2 linked regions of the Macaca fascicularis genome follow. The protein of the gene in region 2 binds, or shares a complex with, the protein of the main gene of each other region. Links are inferred from orthologs where the notes say so. Each region holds a gene or a part of one and is shown on either strand. Other genes may lie near its edges. The genes, in order: EIF3L and EIF3D.

What was found.
Region 1: EIF3D (region 2) and EIF3L share a complex: the UniProt entries of both Homo sapiens proteins name them as parts of the eukaryotic translation initiation factor 3 (eIF-3) complex. The link is inferred for Macaca fascicularis from reciprocal best matches to the Homo sapiens genes EIF3D and EIF3L.

Annotation. Positions count from the first base shown.
Region 1 is NC_088384.1:13,770,562-13,775,029, forward strand, and holds the start of EIF3L (eukaryotic translation initiation factor 3 subunit L), read right to left. Parts: upstream 3,099-4,468; 5' UTR 3,068-3,098; coding exon 3,035-3,067; intron 2,207-3,034; coding exon 2,158-2,206; intron 647-2,157; coding exon 436-646; intron 1-435. UniProt on the Homo sapiens protein: Component of the eukaryotic translation initiation factor 3 (eIF-3) complex, which is required for several steps in the initiation of protein synthesis.
Region 2 is NC_088384.1:15,146,906-15,150,714, reverse strand, and holds part of EIF3D (eukaryotic translation initiation factor 3 subunit D), read right to left. Parts: intron 218-3,809; coding exon 75-217; intron 1-74. UniProt on the Homo sapiens protein: mRNA cap-binding component of the eukaryotic translation initiation factor 3 (eIF-3) complex, a complex required for several steps in the initiation of protein synthesis of a specialized repertoire of mRNAs.

The sequences.
Region 1 (4,468 bases), about 1.4 Mb from region 2:
AGCGCTTTGGGAGGTTGAGGTGGGTGGATCACTTCAGGTCAGGAGTTTGACACCAGCCTGGCCAACATGATGAAATTCTCTCTCTACTAAAAATACAAAAAAAAGTAGCTAGGCGTGGTGGCACATGCCTGTAGTCCCAGCTACTCGGGAAGCTGAGGCTGGAGAATCACTTGAACCCGGGAGGCAGACGTAGCAGTGAGCCGAGATCTTGCCACTGCACTCCAGCCTGGGCAACATATGACACTCCGTCTCAAAAAATAATAAACAAACACATAAATAAAATAAAGTCTAACAAAATAAAATGTCCCTAGCCACAAGGACTCACAAAGACCACCCCCCCAAGCACTGTTTACAAAGTGCTCGCCCCATTTGTAGGAACTGTAATACCAGGCCAGTCCCACCCAGAAAGAGGGCCTTTCAGCCAGTAGTCCATACCTGTTCTCATAGATGTCCTGGATCTCATACACTTTCTGGTCAATGACATCGCTGGAGACACGACTGGCCTGTAGCTCATACACTTTCTGGTCAATCAAATCTGAGACAGTTTTGTGGAAATACTGGATGAAGTTTTTGATCACCTCAGGGATCACCTGATAGGTTTGCTGTTCATACTGACGTTCATAAGCAAGGTCCTGCTTTGGATCTCCTGGAGGTTGGATAAAACAAACACAGAGTGCTTTCAAACCCACATACATGATAGAACAAAATGGCAAGACCGCCCCAGAAACTAAACTCAGGTCTGAGTAAAATTCCCTTTTGAACACTCAGAGATACAAACATCTCAACTCACTCCCAATCTCATTGTCCCTGTTTCTTCAAAAATATTACCACGACTTAAAGTTATTTTTCACTTATTATCTGTTTTGCACCCTTCTCCCAAGTCTAGGAAGTCGGAATCTTGTCTGTCTTGTACTCAGATGTACCCTCAGGGCCTAGAAAAGTATGAGTTAGAGGGGAGAGAGGCAAGACTGTTGGAATGTAAGTGGTAACAGGTATTTAATATTTCTTGAATGAATAACTGTCACCTTCTAAATATATGACTTGTGGCAAGTTAGTATTAAATCTCTGTGCTATATTTTCTCTTCTTTTTTTGGTTTTTTTTTTGAGACAGTCTCACTTTGTCCCCCAGGCTGGAGTGCAGTGGCATAATCTCCGCTCACTGCAAGTTCCCGCCTCCTGGGTTCAAGCCATTCTCCTGCCTCAGCCTCCTGAGTAGCTGAGACTACAGGCGTCTGCCACCATGTCCGGGTAATTTTTTTTTTTTTTTTTTGTATTTTTAGTAGAGACGGGGTTTCACCGTGTTAGCCAGGATGGTCTAGATCTCCTGACCTCGTGATCTGCTCATCTCCGCCTCCCAAAGTGCTGAGATGACAGGCGTGAGCCACCACGCCCGGCCTATTTTCTCTTCTTTAGGAGACAACAGTAATGTACAGAACCACTGTAAGAATTAAACAAAATATTGCATACAACGTACTTAGAACAATGGATAACACTGACTACTAAGTCCAGTCACTATAACATTTCAGGAAACCTCCCAAAAGATTTCATCTGGGCTTGGTTTGAATTAAATTTTTCACATCAAGATTTTCTTCTTTGGGCCAGGTGCAGTGGCTCACGCCTGTAATCCCAGCACTTTGGGAGGCTGGGGCGGGTGGATCACCTGAGGTCAGGAGTTTGAGACTAGTCTGGACAACACGGCGAAATCTCGTCTCTACTAAAAAAAAAGTAAAAAATTAGCCGGGAATGGTGGTGGGTGCCTGTAATCCTAGCTACTTGGGAGGCTGAGACAAGAGAACTGCTTGAATCCGGGAGGCGGAGGTTGCAATGAGCAGAGATCGCATCACTACACTCCAGCCCCGGGGAGGAAAGAGGGAGACTCCATCTCAAAAAAAAAAAGTTTTCTTCTTTGGCTAATAGTTTACACAAGAAAACCATAGCCCGGTAAGTAATCTTTCTCTTCCAAGACTGAGGTGGACTATGATAAAAAGCCTGGTTTATTAGGCTTTATACAACCCCACGCACCAGCAGGTAATGACTGACTCCAAACCTGGACCACCAAAGAGCAATTTTTAACAGGTGCCTGTCAGAGCTGGTTCTAAGACATTGCAAAGGAACTGATCCCTACGAGTACTCAGCCAGCCTAAGCCGTGGTCTCACCTGTGTGCATATCATAGTCGCTCGGATAAGCGTAGGGGTCATAAGCCGCCTAGAAGGAAAGAGACAGTCAGTAAAGTCGCCAACTCGTGAATTCAAAACGCTCATCCTAGAGTCTAGATGCCAAGCAGAGAGCTAAGGATACAGAGGCGGATAAGACACTGTGCCTGGCCGGGCGCGGTGGCTCAAGCCTGTAATCCCAGCACTTTGGGAGGCCGAGACGGGCGGATCACGAGGTCAGGAGATCGAAACCATCCTGGCTAACACGGTGAAACCCCGTCTCTATTAAGAAATACAAAAAAACTAGCCGGGCGAGGTGGCGGGCGCCTGTAGTCCCAGCTACTCGGGAGGCTGAGGCCGGAGAATGGCGTGAACCCGGGAGGCGGAGCTTGCAGTGAGCTGAGATCCGGCCACTGCACTCCAGCCTGGGCGACAGAGCGAGACTCCGTCTCAAAAAAAAAAAAAAAAAAAAGACACTGTGCCTGCCTTTGAGGAACTCACACGCCTTAGAGAAAAGCGACAGTAAACAGACAATGACAATACATTACGGGTGCAAAGGACAAGAGGCTGTGGGAATCAGCGAGATTTGACCTGACGGAGCCCACACCAAAATAACTCAGGGGCAGAAACACAGAAATGTCTAACAAGCCTTGGTCTCCGGTCTTAGAAAGGGGAAGGACAAGGGAACCGGACACGCGAAATGGGCGGGCAGAGCCAGGGTTGTCTAGGGGCCGGGAACAGAGGGAGCAGCCTGAGGGCCGCGCGGCAGGTAGGCCGGAGCTGGCCGCGGCCCAGAAGCTGCCTCGCGCCGGGACCCACATCCAGAGGTCCCACAGATCTCCCCGGCGTGAAGTTCACCGCGCGCTTAGGGCCACCTTACCTCCGACTCATAATCATCAGCAGGATACGACATGGCTACCGGGCTCACAAGCACCGCCGGAAAGACCGAAACGAGCGGCCCGCGCCTGCGTCCTTAGGCCGGAAGTTCGGCCCCCCTCGGGCCTGCCGGGAAACCGGAAGCCTTTCCGAGGCCGCTGGCCATCTGAGACAGCCATATCAAGAAGGAAGAGGTTCCGGGCTCGGTGGCTCACGCCTGTAATCTCAGCACTTTGGGAGGTCGAGGCGGGCGGATCACCTGAGGCTGAGGTCGGGGGTTCGAGACCAGCCTGACCAATGTGGAGAAATCCCGTCTCTACTAAAAATACATAATTAGCCGGGCGTGGTGGCGCATGCCTGTAATCCCACCTACTCGGGAGGCTGAAGTAGGAGAGTTGCTTGAACCCGGGAGGCGGAGGTTGCGGTGAGCCGAGATCGCGCCATTGCACTCCAGCCTGGGCAACAGGAGCGAAAACTCCGTCTAAAAATAATAATAAGAGGGTTACAAGTAGCCTGAATTTTCTTTTCTTCAAATAGAGGCTTCTCAAAGAAGGTGAATCTGTGATACTAGTGTAGATTCAGATATAAAGACACGTATTTGGGGTAAAGGAGGGGCAAAGTTACAGAAACCAGAAAGAATGCCACACAAAAGATGGCCGGCTTCTCGCGTGAAGGGAGATTCGGATACGGGGACCTGATGGATTTAGTTGTAAGCGGTTTGCCTGCAGTGAGTAAATTATTAAAACGTTCGGACTTAACAAGACTAAACTTACTGGGGATAAAAGTTGAGATTTGGCCGGGCGCGATGGCTCATGACTGTAATCTCAACACTTTGGGAGGCTGAGGCGGGTGGATCACCTGAGGTCAGGAGTTCGAGACCAGCCTGGCCAAAATGTCGTAAACCCCGTCTCTAGTAAAAATACAAAAATTAGCCGAGAGTGGTAGCGTCCGCCTGTAATCCCAGCTATCCAGGAGGCTGAAGCAGGAGAATCGGTGGAACCCGAGAGGCAGAGACTGTAATGAGCCAAGATCGTGCCACTGCACTCCAGCCTGGGCGACACAGCAAGACTCAGTCTTAAAAAAAAAAAAAAAAATTGAGATTTGGTCCTATGCAGTAAGAGGGCATGGGAAACAGGAGCCACCCAACTTTGGACATTAAAGTTGGAGTAGGCAAAGACGAGGCCAGCTGTGTCGCGAAGCCTGGGACAGGGGCAGCTCTTGAGTACACCGGGTTCGAGTCTGGGGGAAACCGTCAAAGTAGAGATGGGGTTATAAAACAAACCAATAAAAACCAGTGTATGAGTCAAGGAGGGACCTTAGTTCCACCACTGATTTCTTGTGTGACCAGGACTCTCTGGGTCCCTTTGTCACGCTGCCCTCCTCGCTTTTCCCACTGAGGCACACTCCACCTCTGGGATTTTGCACTCACTGTTATCCA
Region 2 (3,809 bases):
GGGGAGGGCCAACCTCCCTACCCAGACCCTTCCTTTCACAAGATCAGCTGCCAGTTCCCGCACAGGCCTCTCACCCAAGCTTGAGGTATTCAGATCCAGCCAGCAAAGCACAGCAGGTCCACCGGGCCAACTTGTAGCTGTTGTTCTTCAGCTCCGTGGCAATGACGGCCCCTCGCTGAGAGTCCAGCTTCTGACGCCAGTCAACGCCGTTACAGTGCTGCAGGAGAGCCCCGTTAGAGAAGCAGAAGCAAGCTCTAAATGCCCAAGGTGCTGGGACCTCCTCTGGCAGAGAAGGAACTCCCCAGTCTGCCTGCTTAGAAAGTGGGTAGGTATGCACTAAATCTTACCATTTAAGAGACAAAGACACGCTCCCTTCCCTTGCACAGCCTGCCGCAAGCTGGCACTCAATGACTTACAGCTCTTCTCTTCTAAAAGCTCACCTAGCCAGGGAATGATGGACATGGACACACACACACACACACTTTAAACAGCAGAGGCAAGTGTCTACTGTGTGTTGCATGGTAAGGAAGGGCTTCACAGAGGATGTGTAACAGTGAGCCAAGTGGAGAATATTGGCACAAGTGCAGGTACAGACAGGAGCTCCTGATCTGAGAGGCATGGTGGGATAGGAAAGACAGGCGGAGTTGGCCTTAGATGGGGGTGGAAGCCTGCAGTGGGGGCAAAGCTGAGTCTGACATTTTACATAAATGCACACAGCAGAAAAGGACCCCAAAGAGATCCTCTTTTCTACCCATATCATTTACAGACGTGGGAAGATGGACCCAGAGTGAAATGACTGGTCAAAGGTCACATGACAGAGGTTCCCAAACTTTCTTGGTTCATGGCAACCACAGGGCAAAAGAAATACTCAGGAATTCCTTTTTTTTTTTTTTTTTTTTTTTTTGAGAAGGAGTTTTGCTCTTGTCGCCCAGGCTGGAGTGCAGTGGCGTGATCTCAGCTCACCACAACCTCCACCTCCCAGGTTCAAGCGATTCTCCTACCTCAGCCTCCCTAGTAGCTGGGATTACAGGTGCCCGCCACCACGTCCAGCTAATTTTTATATTTTTGGTAGAGGGGGGGTTTCGCCACGTTGGCCAGGCTGCTCTCGAACTCCTGACCTCAGGTGATCCGCCCGCTTCGGCCTCCCAGAGTGCTAGGATTACAGGCGTGAGCCACAGTGGCTGGCCAGTAATTCCTTTTATTTAGTTAGGTTCAAACCATGTAGTAGTATTCCGACAAGACGTCTCTGGTGTTTCCCTAAAAAATTTAAGCTATCCTGCAGCACCGCTGTGCGTTTGCTTTTTTTGAGATGGGGGGTCTCACTATGTTGCCCAAGCTGGTGAGTTCAGGATTTGAACTCCTGAACCCAAGCGATCCTCCCATCTCAGCCTCCTGAGCAGCTGGGATTACAGGTGCGCACTACTGTGTGCAGCTTGCTGGGGCACGTTAGAGTCCTTCTCCCAGTCTGCACTGCTGATGAAGCTGTGTATTGGCTTGGTATCAGCGAAATCCAGGACTGAGTCAGAAGACAGCAAAGCCTTCTATTTTGCTAATAGCAAATGTAAAAAAGGAGTTGGAGATATTAGAGGCTCAGAGCTTAGGTGGGAGAAAGACAATGCTGAGGGACAGCTGGCCCAGAGGCAATGACAGGACGGGGGGCACACGGAAGGGGAAGGTGTTTTAGCAGAAAAACAATGGGAAGTGTAATAAATCAGAGTAGATTTGAGAAATCATTTTCAAAGAGTTCATGGTTGAGGCCTGGGGTGGGCAGAATTCTAAGATGATCCCCAGTGACCCTTGCCCTTGCAGAGTCTCCTCCCCTTGACTGCAGGCAGAACCTATGGCTAGGATCAAATATCACCCCCATGATTATGCTACCTTGTATGTCAAAAGGGATTTTGCAGATGTAAGGCCCCCAATCAGTTAACCTTAATATACACTACCTGGGGCTGGGCCTCACCCAACCATATGAGTCTCTCAAATCTAGGTGTAGAGATCAGAGACAGAGGAAGTCAGAAATTTGAAGCACGAGAAGGATCTGCTGTGCTGTTGCTAGCTTGGAGATGGAGGGGGCCATGTGACAAGGAATGCAGGTGGCCTCTAGGAGCTGAGAGAGGCTCCCAGCTGACAGCTGGCAGGGGGATGGGGGCCTCTGTCATCTAACTGCAGGGAAATGAACTCTACCCACAATGAAAATGGGCTTGGAAATGGCTTTCAGAACCTCCAGATGAGAACTCAGTCCTGTTTCTATTGACACTGTGATTTCTGCCTTGTTTGGATTTGTGTCCCACCCAAATCACATGTCAAGTGGTAAACCCCAATGTTGGAGGAGGAGCATGGTGGGAGGTGACTGGATCATGGGGGTGGATTTTCCCCTTTGGCGCTATTCTTGTGATACAGAGTTCTCAAGAGATCTGGTTGTTTAAAAGTGTATAGCAACTTCCCCCTCTCTTTCTCCTACTCTGGCCATGTCAGATGTGCCTGCTTCTCCTTTGCTTTCTGCCACCATTGCAAGTTTCCTGAGGCCTCCTCAGTCACGCTTCCTGTAGAGCCTGCAGAACTGTGAGCCAATTATATCTCCCTTCTTTAGAAATTACCCACTCTCAGGCATTTCTTTGCAGCAGTGCGAGAATGGACCAATACAAAGACCAAGCACACAGCACTGGACTTCTAACCTACAAAAATGTGAGCTAATAAATCAATATTGTTAGGCTGGGTGCCATGGCTCATGCCTGTAATCCCAGCACTTTGGGAGGCCGAGGCAGGCGGATCGCCTGAGGCCAGGAGTTCGAGACCAGTCTAACCAACATGGAGAAACCCCGTCTCTACTAAAAATACAAAATTAGCTGGGCGTGGTGGCGCATGCCTGTAATCCCAGCTACTCGGGAGGCTGAGGCAGGAGAATCGTTTGAACCCTGGAGGCAGAGGTTGCGGTGAGCCGAGATCGCCCCATTGCACTCCAGCCTAGACAACAAGAGCAAAACTCTGTCTCAAAAAATAAAAAATAAAAAATAAAAATAAAATATATTAATCGGTATTGTTAAGTCACTAAGTTTCTGTTAATTTGTTATGGAGCAAAAGATAACTAACACAAAGTTGTATAATAAAGAAGTACGTGTGGCGAAGAGAGCTGTCTAGGTGACTCCATGGGTCAAAAAGGAGGGGAGCCAGCAAAGACAACATGTGAAGGGAACAGGGAAATGGGTGAGACCAGAGTAACGCGGTAACACAGAGGGCAAAGCAACACAGGTGCAACGACCCCGAATGCTTTGGGGAGCTCACCGGGAAAAGTCCAAGAAAAGGCCACTGGCCCCAGAGGGAGGTCACAGCAAGCCTCCCAGTGTGCTCCTCCAACAGGTGATGTGGGTGGGGGTGGGGTGGAAATGGAAAGTGGAGGAAAAGTGAAGGAAGCATGTTTCTTTCAAGGTGCCTCTGAAGCATCAATTCCAAGCCAGATCGTAGAATCCATGAGTTCAGGAAATGAGGAATTGGAAAAAAGGTATGAAAAGACTGAAGGCAGTGGCTCAGTCAATGAAAGAAGAGGTCAAAAAGAAGAGCGGCCAGACTTACAGGAAACTGCCAACCCAGATAATAAGGAGAGGAAAAAATCAGATGCTCAGAGAGCAGAAGCCAACAGGAGGCCACAATGGAACAGAGATGAAGTACTGGAAGAAGGGAGTTAAATGGTTCCTGTGTAAATAATAAGCAGAAAAGTCCTTAACACTTAACATAGTTCTACACACACAGTCATGCTCTTTCTCGGCAAGGAACTAAGCAGAGGAAAAAACTCACAAGACAAAAAAAATCCA